Linked DNA regions of Caenorhabditis elegans. The protein of the gene in region 1 interacts with the protein of each later gene in a pairwise test. Each region holds a gene or a part of one and is shown on either strand. Other genes may lie near its edges.

Region 1 (8,126 bases):
CTTTCTCCAAACTGAAAAATGAATCCAACTCTGGTTCTGATGTATTGTTTCGGTGGTAATCGTTTTTTATTCATACGGCTTCCATGGGTACTTCCCAATTCAAAAATATGCCATCCTTTTCCAGTTTTTGACATTTTATCATTTCCATATTGTAAAATACAGTGATATCTTGAAATTGATGGATGTTCCATTAAAAGATCACATCCTGGCTTGATTCTTCCGATAACTACGAACGTTGAATTCTTTCGATTTGACAAATCATACGAAGCAATTAATTTTCCTTCTTTCAGAATCTGAAAAAATTGTTTTTATTTTATTTTGTATCAACAGAAAAATTGAGAAAATTAGCATTAAAATTACGGTTTCTGGTCCTAACACTACAATTTTTGTTAAATGCGAGAATATGTGCGCCTTTAAAGAGTACTGTAATTTCAAATTTTCATTGCTGCTTAATTTTCACCGAATTTTCATAGTTTTTCTCTCGATTTGTCAAAATTGAAATGTAATATATTTGCATATTCAGGTTTTTTAATAAATTAATTTAATTCATATCGAAAAAAAAACTACAGTACTTTAAAGGAGCAGACGTTGTTACATTTAACAAAAAATTTTCGTGTCGAGACCGGGTACCGAATTTTTTGTGCAAAATTTCGCGTCTGGGTAATATGTACCTCAAACTGAAATTTATGAGCTGGATCCGGTTCACAAGCCCAAGGAGGCACTTCATAGTGTAGAGCTGGTGCTTGCACTGAAATTTTCGATTCTTTTTCAGCTTGAACTTCCGCAGTCTGAAAGAAAAATGATTATTTCAATATATATATAATCAATAAATATTTTTCAAACCTCAATTTCATCAATAACTCCTTCAACTGGACCGTCCATCTGTTCAGCGGGAGCTCGAATTTTTTCAGGCGACATTGGAGCCGGAGCATGATGAGATGGAGGTAAACTTGGTGATTTGAAGGCTCCGTCTGATTCAGACATTACGCTGAAATATTTATTATTTGATTTCTGAGCTAAAAATACGGTAGCCGGTCTCCGCACGAAAAAGGTTTGAGGAAAAAATGATGTGCACCATTATAGAATACTGTAATTTTAAATTAAAGGGATTTTCATCGTTTTTTTAAAATAAAAATAAGATTATTCATTAGCAAGCTCAAGAATAACATTAAAAACATGAATTATCGAAAAACGGGAGAAAAAAAACAAAAAAATATGAATCTGTAAATTACAGTACTCTTTAAAGGCGCACATCCGTTTTCATTTAACAAACATTTATCGTTTCGAGACTAGGTACCGTGTTTTTGGCACAGAAATCCCAATATTTTACATCTGGATAACTAAAAGATTCGGTTTGCGAAAGTTGTCCACGAGAAGTACATGGCCGTCAATGAAACTAGGCCGCAGCCCATACATTTTTCACTTTGAACACATAGCAATAGTTTGGAAATATTGATGAAAATTCATTCACAAAAGTTCCGGTGATAGTCATACTCAAGTTAATTGCAAATTAGTGAGTTGATGATGATGATAAAAATAATGATAAACGGTAAAAGAGCCTGGATAAGAGATCAATACACACGGGAAGCAATTATTTCAATTATTCGTCGGCAATAACATAGTTCGGATGAACACAGAGAGTTGGATCTTCTCCTTGCTCAACTTCAAGAAGAACGTGATCCTGGTGAATGAGACGATGAATTACACGCTCGCAAATAGTCTTTTGTACGTTGAAGTCTTCCTCCGTCTCCAAATCTGCTTCGATTGTCGACAAGTACCTAAAAACCAGAAATTTAAATTTAAATATTTGAATATTTAAACAAACCATTCAACAAGTGCACTCTGCTTGACACCATCATACTCGTCTTCTCCTTGATTGTCTTCATCGGATCGCATATGTAAAACGAGAACATCAGACAATTGCTTGTATTCCTTGAATGAGATTTTGAGCTTTGCTATATCAATCTTCGGAGCATTTTCCTTCTCTCCATCATGATCCATACTATCATCTCCTCTTTGATTCTCTTTGTCTGCTTCAACAACCATGATATTGTTGTCAAAGTCGTCATCATCCAAAGCAATGTCTGGTTGCTCAACTCTGACGATAGACTTGTTGAGAAGTTCGGCAGCCTTTTCGACATGTTCCACCAGTACTTCCTTTCCACAGTGAAGACGAGCAAGAGCCTCAGACAGACGAACGAGAGACTCCAATTGACGAACAGTGATTCTCCATGATGACGTGGCTGCATTGTTGCTGTCAGACATACGAAGTTTCTTGTACTCTCGAACAAGAGTTTCAGCAGCTTTATCCGAAATCTTCGGCTTGAAGCAACGAGCAAACGCGATATACTTCTTGATATCATCAATTTTGTAAACACTGTCACGTTCAGTATGCTCACTGATCGCACGATGATTATCAAGGATCCGACGGGCAATAGCGTAATCAGTAACTTCATTGCACTCATCGACCAACACAAAGAAAAGATCGAAACGTGACATAATCGGAGCTGACATCTGGACATTATACTTCAACGGACGACTTCTATCATAACGTCCATTAACTGGATTTGCAGCGGCAAGAATTGATGCACGGGCATTCAATGTTGCTTTGACTCCAGCTTTGGTGATGGAAATGGTTTGTTGTTCCATTGCCTCGTGAATGGCAACCTGATCCTTGAGGTCCATTTTGTCGAACTCATCAATACAACAAACTCCATTGTCGGCAAGCATGAGAGCTCCAGCTTCAATGACAAACTCGAACGATTCCTCGTCTTTTACAACAGCAGCAGTCAGACCAGCAGCTGAAGATGCTTTTCCAGAAGTGTAAATAGCTCTTGGACTGAACTCTTCCACAGCTTTCAGAACTTGCGACTTGGCAGTTGATGGATCTCCAACAAGACAAACGTTGATATCACCTCTCAGTGAAGTTCCTTCGTCCCTGCTCTTCTTCGCGACACCTCCAAGAAGCATCAGAAGAACTCCAAGCTTAACTTCGTGGTTTCCATAAATGTTCGGGAAAAGTGAATCGACAATGTTCTTCTCGATTTTCTTATCGTCACTCATTTTCTTCAGTGTTGCACGATCTTCTGTTGACATTTTCGACCATAAATCAAGATAATCAGTCTCCTCAACAGCTCCCGAAGCATCTCCACCAACAAGACTCTCGGTTTGTTGAATATGACAAGCCAAGAATGCCATTTTATAGGTAAGATCACGGACTCCAAGAGCTTTCAATCCAGTGATTCCTTCGCTTTTATCGGTCGCTCTGCCTGTAAAAAATCAGATTATTGTTGAGTCTCGCTAGTTTTTTTTCTTAAAATATATATTTAAATTTATGAAACCATAGGAATCACTAGTCACTGAAAATCAATTCTACTTCCTCGTTCCACGTGACCATAATTGTTCGAATACTAGATGCTAATAAAATCAAAATCACCACATTATCGAGAAACGAGGAGTCCATATAATCACATCTTCCAAAAGAATACTACCCAACCATTGGTTCCTACATTATTCAACCTGCTGGTGTGTTTCTTTTTTCTACAAATGGATGTGGATGCTGCCGTTGTTAAGCGTATTGCTCTATGGGTTTACGAGACATGTTCGGTGTTCAATTTATTCTACTGTATTACTTTATCACTGGCAATAAAAACTTCTAAAAACAGTTACGAAAAATTCGGGATTTTATTTTTTTAAAAATCTCATTTCAGATGCTCTACCAGCCACATACATCTATAACATGGCAATTTCTAACGCACTTCTAGTCATATTCGGAATAATGGTCTACATACTCCCCTATTACATGTCCGATAAAACATATAAAAGTAATAACTGTCCGGACACATGAGGAAGGATATATTTTCTAATCTATATTTTCAGCATATCGGGATTCAATAGGAGCTATGATTTCGGTGGGTGTAACGTTCAATTATCTTCATCCAATGCTCACACTTATTCTGATGACTATTAATCGAATAGCAGTAGTTGTGAGTATGCAGGCATCTCAGCTTTTCACTTCTAGCAAAATATGGCTCTATACTTCATTTCATATGGTATCTTGAAATGCTAAGATTTCAAATGATACATTTATTCTTCAGACTGCCAATTTCGCATGTCTTATTATTCCCTATCTGAGTGAGTGTCGGATAAATTATGATATACGAAAAGTTGGATTCATATCTGAATGTGCACCAGACAGGCATCAGGTAAAGTAGATCTACGGATGATATCTGTGTTACAAAAATTAATAATTTAATTTGTAGATCACAACGTTCTCCAATTATTACTCTGTATTCTTTCCGTTCGTAGCATTCTTTTTCAATGTGCTAGTTATTATAAACTTCAAACTTCAAAGATCACCAACATATACAAAGATCAAAAATATGTTCCGACGTGGGAATGGAGATCAGTTTACATCAATGCCTTCGGATGTTTTAAAAGCGAAAAAGAAGACTGAACGAATGCTTATGATTCAAGCTTTTATCACTGCTTTCTATCTTTCTGTATATGAGCTAACAAGTCTTGTTCTACGAGTTGTTCCGGTATAAATTCAACGAAATAGCGTTTACTATGCAAGTTTTCAGGAACTCTTTGGAAATCTTTCGCTTGACGGAAAGCTCGCATTCACTTATTTTCGACTAGCTCAGGTGCCATGCCATGTATTTCTAGTATACTTCATTTTTACCCCTGTTACCAGAAAAATCTATATGGATTTTGTTCGAGAAAGAGTTTTCTGTATGAAACCAGCGAAAAAGAAGACAATCAAGGTATCTGCGACAACTACTTCCACTAAGAAATGAGTTTCGAATAAAATTGTTTACCTCTGTTCTGATTTGAAGTCTCAGCACGAAGTCCAGGAGTGCTCAATTGAGCAATATCTGGAATGACGATAAGAGTTCCAACAATGTCACATTTATCTCCTGGTTGGACAGTTTCAACCATTTCTCCTCGAACAATCACATCGACAGTACGTGGAATTGATCCACGAGGCAACTCTGCTTGAGTCTCCTGAATTCTAATCTTCTGGAAGTCGACGAAAGTAGATGAGTTGACATCGAGACTGAATCTGGTACGATTCATGCATTGAGGATTAGCACATTTAGTTGGCTGAAAACATTTGAATTCGTTATAAGCTAATTATTATCTCCGCATACCTGAGTGTATCTGAACTGCTGTTGAACATCACGTGTGGTAACACCGCAATCCTCACACACGAAACAAGCCCGTGAAAGTTCTGGATGCACTGGGTGAGTTCGGACAATCTGACCGGCAATGCGCACGAGGCCTCCGACTTTGTCCGCAGAAAGCTCACGAACTTTCGTTTTCGCATCGAGATTGAACAGCGAAACGTACAATTGCTTCTTGAACATTTGCTGTCTCTCACTTTCATCACAAGCATCTAAAGTGGCCAAGTGTAGAGCTTCGCACATGAATGGATAGACCCTGAAGTATATTTATAAGTATTCGAAAATACTAATCGAATTTAATTTACCTGTAGTATTGCAGCTCGATAGTTGTTGCGAGATTGTTACTGAACTTGTAGAGATGTTGCATGTTAATGAAAATGGTATTCTTTTCTGGTTGCACGAGCTCCTTCATCGCAGATTTGTAGATAAACTCATTTTTCTGGTCTTTGAAGCTCTTCAAAAACTTGGAAAACTCGTTCTGCACACGAGTTCCGTCGGTGTCCTCCACTTGCTGGGCTTGACCGCCGATAATGTTGTCCATGCTGAAAGAATTGATTTAAAAAGAATTAAGGCAACTTTCTTAATCGAAAAAGTAAGAAAGAGAACTAGAAATTCAGGAAGTCGGTGCAATCTGAAGAGGAAAACAATGAGAATGCGGGAAAACGACGAGAAATAAGACACCTAAAATTCAAAACTCAATTTTGGCGGCAACCTGCGTACCGAAACACTGGAGTGTTGTAGACGAAACAGTGTGCGCGGTAAAGAGACGCAGACAAATTAGGCGCGAAAACTGTGCGGCTGTGAATTTGAATTTCGACAGAAATTCATTGTCATTCAGAAACTTGCTTTTTCAGATGTAAAAGATATATTTTATGAATAAAATAAAAAACTTATTGGGAAAAATCAAAAACAGAAAAAGGCGCTTTAAAAAATAACAATTCTTGCCATGTCGTCGCAAGACCATTTCCCAAAAACGTGCCTCCCTTGAAACTCACACGGTACGGTACTTTGATAAAAATCGGGCCTACGATTTCTAATTTAATAGCCTGTAATGTAGACTTCAAGAATCAGTAGTTATTGAGAGTCACGAAAAATTTGAAACATGCAAAATTCTCATTCAAACTTGAATTAATTTCAAGGGGAGATAGGTTACCTTGAGACCATTCGGGTTACTGTACTTCTTAGAATTTCAGAAATTCGGGCGATGTTTAGAATGAATAAATATGAGTCAGACGTGCGCAACAGGCCGAGGAAACTTATGCGAGAATATGTGTATGTTTGCTTTCTGGACACTACAACTTCCAAGCTTTGTCGACAGAAAAGTTGTGTTATACTGCTTTATCGATAAGTATGCACTTTCTCTTTAAATTATTCGTTTTGATTTTAAATCTAACTCTGATCTCAAATGGTGAGTTTCGACAATTTTAAAAGTTCAAAGTTCAAAAGGCGCTATAGTATGATGAAATTCACCTATAAACATTTTTTAGAGATTTCCATTTAATTTTGAAAGGCGCACGCTGGATTTCTGAGTGGGTCTCGACACGATCTCGGTGCTACAAGCCATATTTCTCACCTAGCTTCAAGTTTATTGGAAAATATGATGAATTTTATTAAAATACCTTGTCAAAGAATTGTTTCAGTTAAATCTCAATCATACAATGACGTCATTTGCCGCCGACCGTGGTATTTTAACTCACCACGACCTGCTCCAATGTAAGTTGGAGAATATTATAATTGGCAAATAATTCCGTTTTTCTCGTTTAGGAGGTGTCCAACTGCTTCTTTCTTCACATATTATGAATGTTGTGGAGAGTTCTTGGAAAACTGTTGTTGGAGATTTAGACAAGAACCCATGTAAGCTTTTTGTAAAGTAGCTCTAACTAGATCCACATCTAAGTCATATAAATCCACAGAAGAAATTTAAGTTTTCATTTGAGCATCTGTAGTAGAATGAGACATCTCTCAGAACATCCCTATAAGGGGATGAAATTTTGGATTTCTTAATTTGGAACATCTTAAACAGGAACATCTTGAAAACTAAACTTTTTTCAGAATAATCGGAGTAATTCTTCTTGTTCTTCTCTTACTTGTATGTTGCTGTTGTTGTGTTTCTTGGATATTCGTTGGAAGAAAAAAGAAATCTTCAAATATTGAACCAGAAAAGAAGCCAACAAAGAAAGACTCACAAATTCAAACAATTAGCAGTTCAACAATAGATTCTGGAACTCAATGGGAACTCCGAAGAAGCTACGAGGAAACTGATAAAAGAAGGTCTTATGCAGCTGCTAGAGATCAAGAACTGGATTATCAATATTTTCAATAATTATATATTCTGCTCAATTGGATTTTTTTTTGAAAAATTAAAACGTTCCGATTTTCATTTTCCTTGAAAGTGCCATATTTCCTCAAGGATTTTACAAATTTCAAATTCCATTTGTAGACTTAAACGCAAGTGATGCAAAAATAGATGTATGTAGAATAATTTTCTCTGCGGTAAACTAAATATTTCAAAATCAAAGAGCGACTTGGTAGGTAAACTAAATATTTTAGTTTACCTACCAAGTCGCTCTTTGATTTTTCAGTCTCCAAAACGAATAGCTCCTTGTTTTTCTAAACAATTTTCTTTCCCAGGTACCTCGTTGCAATTTTCTCAAATTGCTTTCCTGCTTCATTTTTCACATTTCTTTTCACAATTTTACAACTATTTTCTCCCCTTCAACACCTTTCACAGAAGCTATTGTCAACATCAGTTTGCTCATTTCTATCCATCCACCTCTCTCTTTTTCTGTTGGTTCGTATATATTTGTAATTCAATTCAAGAAACGTGTGCTCTTTCTCTTTCCAATTGCCCATAAAAATGGGACTGGGAGGTTGGATCTTTTGGAATTAGGCACTAGGAGAAAAACATGTTTATTTCAACCAATTCATTTGATTGAACCA
Region 2 (8,704 bases), on another chromosome or scaffold:
CTGTGACAAAGAAAAGTGTGAGAAATTTCAGATTTTAGCAAAATTTGGCTTTTTTTTTTTCGAAACTCTGCAATTTTTTATTTTGTGCTCAACTGTGAAAAAAAATTATAGAATTAGGTTTTCTGAATTTTTTATTTTTTTTTAATTTTTTTTTTTTAATTAAATTTTTTCCAAATATAAGAGAAACGGCTGAAAATTTGATTCTTCGAATTTTTTACAAAAGTTGAGTGAATATTTTTTTTTCGATTATGCGATATCTGAAAAATCGAAAACTTTTCGTTTTTCCTATTTTTTCAAAAAAAGCTCAATTTTTTTTCTTTTTTTTCTTCTTTTTAGAAAAAAATGTATGTTCTCTTATGTTCTTTTTCAGGAACATTAACAAAATTTAGTAAAAAATAAAGTTTATTTTATTGTCAGAAAAAGATTTTTTTTCGATTTTCCGATTTTCCGGAAAATCGAAAATGTTATATTAAGTCTCAGAAATAATTACTAAGGGTAAAGCTTTTAAAGCCTTTTCAATTTCATTTTGAATATCCACAAAATATTGATTTTTCAGGTTTTACGAGCCAATTTGCAAGAAATTTATCGGTTTCCAAATTAAATTTTTTTTAATTAATCAAAACAAGGCTCTGCAATTTTCAATATGCTATAATCCAACTTTTTGATCTAAACTTTATATAGGAATGTAATTTAAAAAAGGTCTGTTCCATGTGAAAAAATTATTTATTTTTTTTGAAAAATTTGAAATAGGCCTCGCACCATTTGAGGCCTTTTTCAAAATTTTCAACAAAAATAAATATTATTTTCAGATGGAACATAAATTTTTTCTACATTTCTATATCAATTTTAGATCAAAAAGTTGGATTATAGCATATTAAAAATGGCAGAGCCCTGTTTTGATTATCTTTAAAAAATTTAATTTGGAAACTCATAAATTTCTTGCAAATTGGCTCGTAAAACCTGCAAAAATCAATATTTTCAAGATATTCAAAATGAAATAATTTCTGAGACTTCACTTTTTTGCAATTTCTTCAAATTTCCCGCATTTCTATTCCAATTCCAGATGAGACCCATACCCGCTCTGGAAAACCATGAACGTTGGCATCGAATTGACACCGTTCTCTGAGCTGGTTTTCTCGCAGATCTCCACATCAACTTTCAGAAAAACTGCTCCAAGATATTGATTGGACAGAGCTTCAAATGTTGGAGCAATCATTTTGCACGGTCCGCACCAGACTGCAGTGAAATCGACAATCACTGACTTGAGACCAGCGAGGGAAAGCTGATTTCTGAAGTCTTCGTCGTCTTTCACGTTGATAACTGGCATGGTGTAGGGGAGATGGGCTGAAAATTAATTTAATATTTAGATTACTGCACTTATTTTTTTAAGGTGGTGTAGTCGAATTTTTTTAAAATTGCTTCATTAGACTCAAAATTGTCTCAAAACACCGAATTTCATGATGAAACTGCTTGAAAACTTCTCAAAAAAAGTTATGACTGCTCAAAAAATGGCCTAAAATTAGTTAAAATTTGAAATTAGACCGACTTTTCAAGCGGCTAAAAACTACCTTTTTTGAAATCACCGTCAAATTTTGAGTATATATAAAATGTAATTATCTTGCGTTTTCAACTCGATTTAGGTATTTTAAAGTCGATGGACGGCGAGATTTGGTTTAAAAAATTTAAAAATCTCGCCGTCCATCGACTTCAAAATATCTGAATCAAATTGAAAATGCAAGATAATATAATTGTATACTCAAAATTAGACGGTAATTTCAAAAAAGTTAGTTTCCAGCCGCTTGACAAGTCGGTCAAATTTCAAATTTTAACTAATTTTAGGCCATTTTTTGAGCAGTCATAACTTTTTTTGAGAAGTTTTCAAGCAGTTTCATCATGAAATTCGGTGTTTTGAGACAATTTTGAGTCTAATGAAGCAATTTTAAAAAAATTCGACTACGCCACCTTTAAAATACGGATTTTTAATCGAAAAATGCAAAATAATCTCAAAAAATGGGAAAAATCCCCAAAATCTAAAGAAAAATTAAAGAAAAAAATTGGGTTTTGAAAAAAGTTGTTATTTTGTAGTTGAATTTGTTGAATTTTTCCCGCTGAAATTCCAATTTTTAAGCTTTCGCATCATTTTTTTTGGGATTTCTGGCAAAAGCTATTGTAAATACTCCCGGAACAATGCACGAATATATTTTAGCTATTTAATACGCAGAAATTGTGAAATTTCGTTATTTTTTGGGCGATTTCTGGGGAAATTTTGACCGAAAAATTGTAATTTCTGGGATCACCGCTTCCAAAATTGTTCAGTTTATAGTTCTAGGAGCAAAAGATATCTCATTCAGAAGAAAAAACGAAAAAAAAATTTCAAAAAATATAGGAATCACGCCAATTTAAATAATTATTCATTAAAAAAAAGATTTTTTGAAGGTTTCCACAGTAAAATGCATTCATTCTCAAACTGATTTTTGGGTAATTTTGGGCATTTTACACGCTAAAATAGGTGAAAAGCACTTTTAAACGCTCTGAACACAATTTTAATATGCAAAAAATAGTATAAATTCCGGAAAATTAAGAAAATCGGCATGAAACGTGGATTTGTCAGCATTCAAAATGAATGCCGGTGCGGCGAGGGAGTGCACGAAGCGTGGAGACGCAGCGGACAACAAACGCGCTCCAATGGACAAAAAGTGCGGGAAACCGGGACTGTTCAAAGTGTACGCTTTGTCTGTCGTCTCTCCCATTTATTTTTTGGTTTTCGCGAATAATTTCGCTGAAATTATTATTTATTCCTGATAAAAATGAGTTCCCGGGTGACTAGATCCAGGTCCCAGACTCCGCAGACTGCTGTAACCGACTTTTTCAAGGTAAATTGGAGTTTGAAGTTATGAATTGCAATTATTTAATGTTTTTTTTTCTTTTTCAGACCACCAGAAAACCGAGAGCAAGAGGAGAAAAGAAGATTATCGATGAAAGCATCACAAAGACCACTACAATTAAAGAAGTACAAATTCCTGCTGCTCCAATCGTCGAGAATAAATCCTCCCGAACTCGCGCTCGGACTCCATCCCGTCAAGCGGAATTATCGAGTTCCGGAACTCCGCCAAAAAAAGCTAGAGAAGCTGAAGCAGAAGCCCCTGAGCTTCCCAAAATCCATGAAGATATTATTCTGGAAAATCCGGCTCCTCAGAAGTCAGCGATCGATAAGCTAATGGAAGCATCCGGCCCAGCGAAAAAGAAGGCTGGAATTCGAACTGTTGCAGATTTACAAGCAAGAATAGCTGCAAAAGGAGCAGCTAAAGCGATTCATGAGCAAAATTTGAAGAACAAAACGAAGCAGGTCGATGATCACGTGGAATTGCTGAAATCTCCGAAGAAACCAGTTATTGTTGAGCATCACAAATCACCTCAGAAATCCAAGGCCGCTCGTAATCTGTTCTCACCGAAGAAGCCAGTTCCAGACTATATTATTCCCGGCTTTAATGTCCTGAAATCGGCCGAAAAAGTTCGCGGAGAGCAGGATGATGCTCACGAAGAAGAGGGAAAACGAATGACTGCAGAGTTTCTGAAGAGCTCACGGCTTATTGATGAAGTTAAGGAGAGTGCACGTCAACGGATTGAACTTCCAACTGCGTATGAACATCTCGCTGATACTTTCAAACGAATCGATCAGATCACTGCGATCTTTATCGGTCAGAATCGAAGCTGTGTGGTTCCTGAGTTGATCAAGAATGTTAAGAATACGTCTGGAAAGGATTTTTCCAATGAACATTTGTCACAAATTCTTCATGTATATCCTCAATCATATCATATTGAGATGCGTGAACAGCGAAAAGCATTCGGCCAGGGCGGGAAGTATGAACTTGAGGTTCGACCGAATCTCGTGGAAGGTTCGTAGCTTTCGGTTGGCAATTTGCAATAAAAACATTTAAAAAATCAGCTATTTCTGACGTATTCCATTAAAATTTAGTGTCAGAAAATAGAAAAAATATTATATTAATCGTAAAATAGCATTCTTTTAAGTTTAAAAAGACTTATCGATTTTTCTTCTCTGTTTGATCACCTCCACACATTTTTGAACTCGAAAATATTTAACGATTAATAAAATATTTCTCTATTTTTTAACAGACCCTATTCATGCTCCTGATACTGATTTTTGATGTGAAAATTTTTCAAAAAATTCAAAAAAAAAGCCCTGGTTTTATATTAATTTTTGGAAATTCTAAAAATACTAGCTTTGCTCAAAAAAAAACTGAAAAAAAACACAATTTTCTCTTCAAAAAGTAAGAAAAAACACAGCTTTTTACCAGATGTTCGAAAAAAAAACTTTTTTGTTTAAAAAATCCAAAAAAAAAACAATTTTTTAGTAAAAAAATTCGAAAAAACTCAATTTTAAGAAAAAAATCCGGGAAAAAAACACCGTTTTTTAGTCATAAAATCGGAAAAAAGATAATTCTTTATTCAAAAAATCCGAAAGAGCTCAATTTTTTAGTCATAAAATCCGATAGAACAGCGTTTTTTGTAAAAAAAACCGAAAATACCGAATTTTTATTCAAAAAATCCGAAAAAAAAACACAATATTTCAGTCAAATAATCCGAAACAACGCTATTTATAAATTGGAAAAAACACCATTTTTTGTTCAAAAAATTAGAAAAAAACAATTATTTTTAATTTAAAAAATCTGGAAAAAACACAATTTTAAGTCGAAAAATCGAAAAAAAAAGACACATTTCTTTAGTCAAAAAAATACGAAAAAACACCTTTCTTGTTCAAAAATCCGAAAAAAACGCAATTTTTTAGTCATAAATGCGAAAAATACGCAATATTTTAGTTTAAAATATCTGAGAAAAACACAATCTTTGTGGCCAAACATTGAAAAAAACACCTTTTTTTGTTCAAAAAATCCCAGAAAAACGCAATTTTTTAGTTATAAAATTCGAAAAAACCCCAATTTTTAGTCAAAAAAAAGTTTCCTGCTTACAAAAAACCTTTTTTTTTGCAGATCTACGAGGCTACATTTACGAAAAATCCCCCACCGACGGCGACACCGAAGATCTTCCACTAGTCTGCCCATCAAAGCTGCTCTCCCCAAAGAAAAGCCCCAGAAAACAAGTTCAACCGGCTCTCCGAAAGCCAGAAGTCGACGGGAGGATTCGCCTGGACGCTGCTCGTCAAAGAGACCGAGCTCATGTTTTCCGTTATAAGTTGGCCTCGATTGTCACGAAATGTCATACGGAATTTTTGGAATCTCAAGGATTATGTGCTTCTTCGAATATTAAGAGAATGCATCCATTATTCCGACTTGACAAGCATTGTCCATCACTGCCGCAGGTGAAACTTCCAGAACCTCCTCTACAGAAATCATCGATTCATATTGGAATGAAAGAAGCTTTAGATAAATATATGGATCAAGTATCTCTACCATCATTTGTTCAAAAAGCTTATCAAGACTTAAAATCTCCACTGAAATCAACTACAGGAGCATCTGGAACAGTTCCAATCTCGCCGAAAAAGTTCTCCGAGATGCAAAAAGAGCAGAAGAGCCAGGGAGCAATGTCACTTTTAGAGCGTATTCGTGCGAAGGAAGCAATCAAAAAGGCGGCTGAAGCTTGTATTGATAAGGATCTTGAGAGAAGAAAGCAACGTCTAACACTGCTCCGTGACCGATATGTTCGAATTGTGTGCAATCATTATACGGCGAAACGGGCTCAGACGATGGAAATTGATGTGATTTGCAAATTTGTGCAGTTCAGCTCGTCCAACTCGTCTTCGATTCCTGATATTATGGATCATTTGAGATTGTTGTGTGAGGTCGCACCGATGTACATCTCTGAAGCTAGTTTAATGAACAAAAAGTTCGTTTTTTCTCGATTTTGAGCCATTTTTGCGAATTCTTTTGCATCGAAATCGAAAGAAAAAACTTGAAAATTGGATGATTTCGGCGAACTTTAAAAAATTGTTTTCAAAAAATGTTGAAAATTCGCAAATTTTTTGAAATAAAATGTCTGAAAAAATGTTTAAAATTCATTGAAAAATCGGAAATTCTCTTAAAAATGCTGAAAACTCTAGAAAGCAGCAAATTAGTAAAAAAAAAATATCAGAACATTTGCAAAAATGGGAATTTTCAGAAAATTCAACTTTTTTTTTGAAAATTAAAAAAAAATCTCGATTTCGGGTCATTTTTGCAAATTCTTTTGCATCGAAATTGAAAGAAAAATCAATCTTGAAAATTTCGCAAGTTTTAAAATATAATTTTCCATAAATTCGCGGTGGTTTTTCAGAAATTTTTGAAAAATATCAAAGAATTTTTAAAAAGTTATGAAAAAAATCGGAAAATTTGATTTTAAAAATTTCTTTGTCTCGATTTACGCAGACGGTGTACTCCACGAGGAGAAGAGTAGTTTTTGGATATGGTGCTCGATTTTGTATGATTTCTGCAAATTTTTTTTCTTTTAAAAATTCGTCTGAAAATTTTTGAATTTTTTTAAAAATTCATTGAAAAATCGGAAATTCCTGAAAATTAGCAAAAATGTTTGGAGATTTTTAAAAAATTCGAAAAAATTGTTTGTAAAAAATCCTGAAAATTCCCAAAAAAAAAATTATGACAATTTTCTGCGAGAGTTTAAAATATTACAGATTTTTTTAAATTTTGAAAAATATCTAATATTCTCGAAAAATTCGCCTTGGAAAATTTCGAAAAATTCATTTTAAAAATAGGAAATTCAAAATTACTACTTTAGCATTAAAAAAATCATAAAAATTCTCCAAATTTTTTAGAAGTTTCCAAAAAAAAAATCGCAAAAATTAAATTTGTGGTTTTCCAACAATAAATGGACCAAAATCAAAAATTTCCACCAAAAAAAACATAACTTCTCCTCGAGGAGTACACGAGCTCCGTAAATCGACACAGACATTTGTGAAAAAAATTACTTGAAAATCGTAAAATTTCAACAAAAAAAATTCTAATTTTTTTCCAGATACTTCCGATTCACCGACAACAACATTGAAGCAATCAACGAGTTGCTCGATGAAGAGCTCCAAATTACTCAGAAAAAGATTGATGAGCAACGAAACACCCAAATTGCACAAATGAGCCACCACCACACACCACGGCCATCCAAAGCAGCAAGATCTCTCAAATTTCATTAAAAACTAATTTCTAAGCCATTTGTAACTAATTTTCTCACTTTTCTCTCATAACATTCCTGCAATTTTTAATTTTTTTCCAAAGAATTTCCAGAAATTTCAAAGATTTTTGAGCATTTTTCGATTTTTTCACGAATTTTCCGGAAAAAAATCGGAAATTTTTCAATACAATTCTCCAAAAAATTCCCGAAAAATCACAAAATTTCCACTATAACTTCTCGAAAATCTTTGTAATTCCTGAACATTTTCAAAGAATTTCTAAAAATTCTCAATTTTCCAGAATTTCTTTGAAAATTCCTGAAAAAATCGGAACTTTTCCAAAAAATCCGTCACTTGTAACTATTTTTCTTCTCGTTTTTTCTCTCATGCTCTGTACCATTTTCCAATTTTTTTTCACTTTTTTCCAAGTTATCACTCTTGCAATTTCAAATTTAAAATTTCAAATAAATCAAAACGTTATTTAGAAAATTAAAATGGAATTAAAATTTTTATTCCAAGCTGTTATTCATTTTCAGCGTAAAAATTATTTTCCGCTTGGCGCATTTTCGGTGCATTGCTGGCGCATTTCGCGATCCGTTTTTCAACCGTTTATGTATTTTTCATCATTCTTCAATGAAAAACTAAATTTTTAAAACAAAATTCAATTTTTCTATAATTTTTCAATTCAGAAAATGCTCAGTAATCGCCTCGTTGGCTTTCTTTGCTCCCGGTCATTCACAAAATGCACAAGCCTGCCGAGCCGATTCACACGTGACGGATTACGGGATCGATTACGACAGCAGGAGCTCAAAGAGCTCACGAAAAATCATCAGATTAAGCAGGCGTTTAGTCCAGACGCTAGAACTGTCAGGCCGATGTCGGATTTGTGGAAAGTACGGGATTTTTTATTTTTTAGTTGAAAATTAGTAAAAAAATCAGTTTTTTCGGCGAAAATTGAAGTAGAAAAGGTTTTTTTTTTGTGTAAAAAATATCAAAAATTCATTGAAAATTGAAAGAAAAAGCGAAAATTTTCTAAAAAAAAAATTCAAGAAATCCGCATATTTTCTCTTGAAAAATATCAAAAATTCGCTTTAAAAAATGCCAAAAATCGGAAAAAATGCTGAGAAATGAATTTTGCGCCTAAATTAGTTTAGAAAGTTTATTTTTTCGGCGAAAATCTCCTCAAAAAGTCAAAAAATTTACAAATTTTTGTTCTAAATTAACAAAAATTTGTTAAAAATTGAAAAAAAAAATAACGAAAAAAGACGTTTTGCGCTCAAATTAATTTGATAATTTCAACTTTAAAAATCTTTATTTATTTCAGTGAAATTTCAGAGCAAAATTGGTTTTTTTTGCCAAAAATTTTCAAAATTCAAGAAATCGCAATATTTTTTGCCTAAAAAGTACCGAAAATTGACAAAAACCGGAAATTAATTAAAAATTTTAATTTTGCATCAGGAAACACATGATTTTTGGCGTAAATCTCTAAAATTGTTAACAATTCAATTCTTTAACAACAAAACTCGCTTTTTACTATTTTGAGCCGGTACCTGGTCTCGACACGACAAATTT

The links. Proteins that work in one complex are often made in the same cells at the same time.
Region 2: the proteins of mcm-6 (region 1) and cdt-1 interact in a two-hybrid assay, tested with the Caenorhabditis elegans proteins (one study listed by BioGRID).

What each region holds. Positions count from the first base shown.
Region 1 is NC_003281.10:9,791,969-9,800,094, reverse strand, and holds mcm-6 (DNA replication licensing factor mcm-6), read right to left. Parts: upstream 5,729-8,126; 5' UTR 5,728-5,728; coding exon 5,492-5,727; intron 5,443-5,491; coding exon 5,154-5,442; intron 5,107-5,153; coding exon 4,821-5,106; exon of another isoform or gene 4,800-4,820; coding exon of another isoform or gene 4,584-4,799; intron 4,542-4,583; coding exon of another isoform or gene 4,263-4,541; intron 4,206-4,262; coding exon of another isoform or gene 4,098-4,205; intron 4,053-4,097; coding exon of another isoform or gene 3,880-4,052; intron 3,825-3,879; coding exon of another isoform or gene 3,711-3,824; intron 3,665-3,710; coding exon of another isoform or gene 3,547-3,664; intron 3,272-3,546; exon of another isoform or gene 3,270-3,271; coding exon 1,826-3,269; intron 1,779-1,825; coding exon 1,601-1,778; 3' UTR 1,452-1,600; downstream 1-1,451. Other genes in the region: ZK632.2 (uncharacterized protein), read right to left, coding at 1-293, 672-788, 844-984; srxa-10 (Serpentine receptor class XA 10), read left to right, coding at 3,547-3,664, 3,711-3,824, 3,880-4,052, 4,098-4,205, 4,263-4,541, 4,584-4,799; R10E11.9 (uncharacterized protein), read left to right, coding at 6,537-6,594, 6,827-6,899, 6,951-7,040, 7,239-7,509.
Region 2 is NC_003279.8:3,222,071-3,230,774, reverse strand, and holds cdt-1 (CDT1 Geminin-binding domain-containing protein), read left to right. Parts: upstream 1-2,670; 5' UTR 2,671-2,807; coding exon 2,808-2,873; intron 2,874-2,932; coding exon 2,933-3,896; intron 3,897-5,009; coding exon 5,010-5,862; intron 5,863-6,984; coding exon 6,985-7,156; 3' UTR 7,157-7,615; downstream 7,616-8,704. Other genes in the region: txl-1 (Thioredoxin-like protein), read right to left, coding at 1,077-1,327; rom-5 (rhomboid protease), read left to right, coding at 7,825-8,025.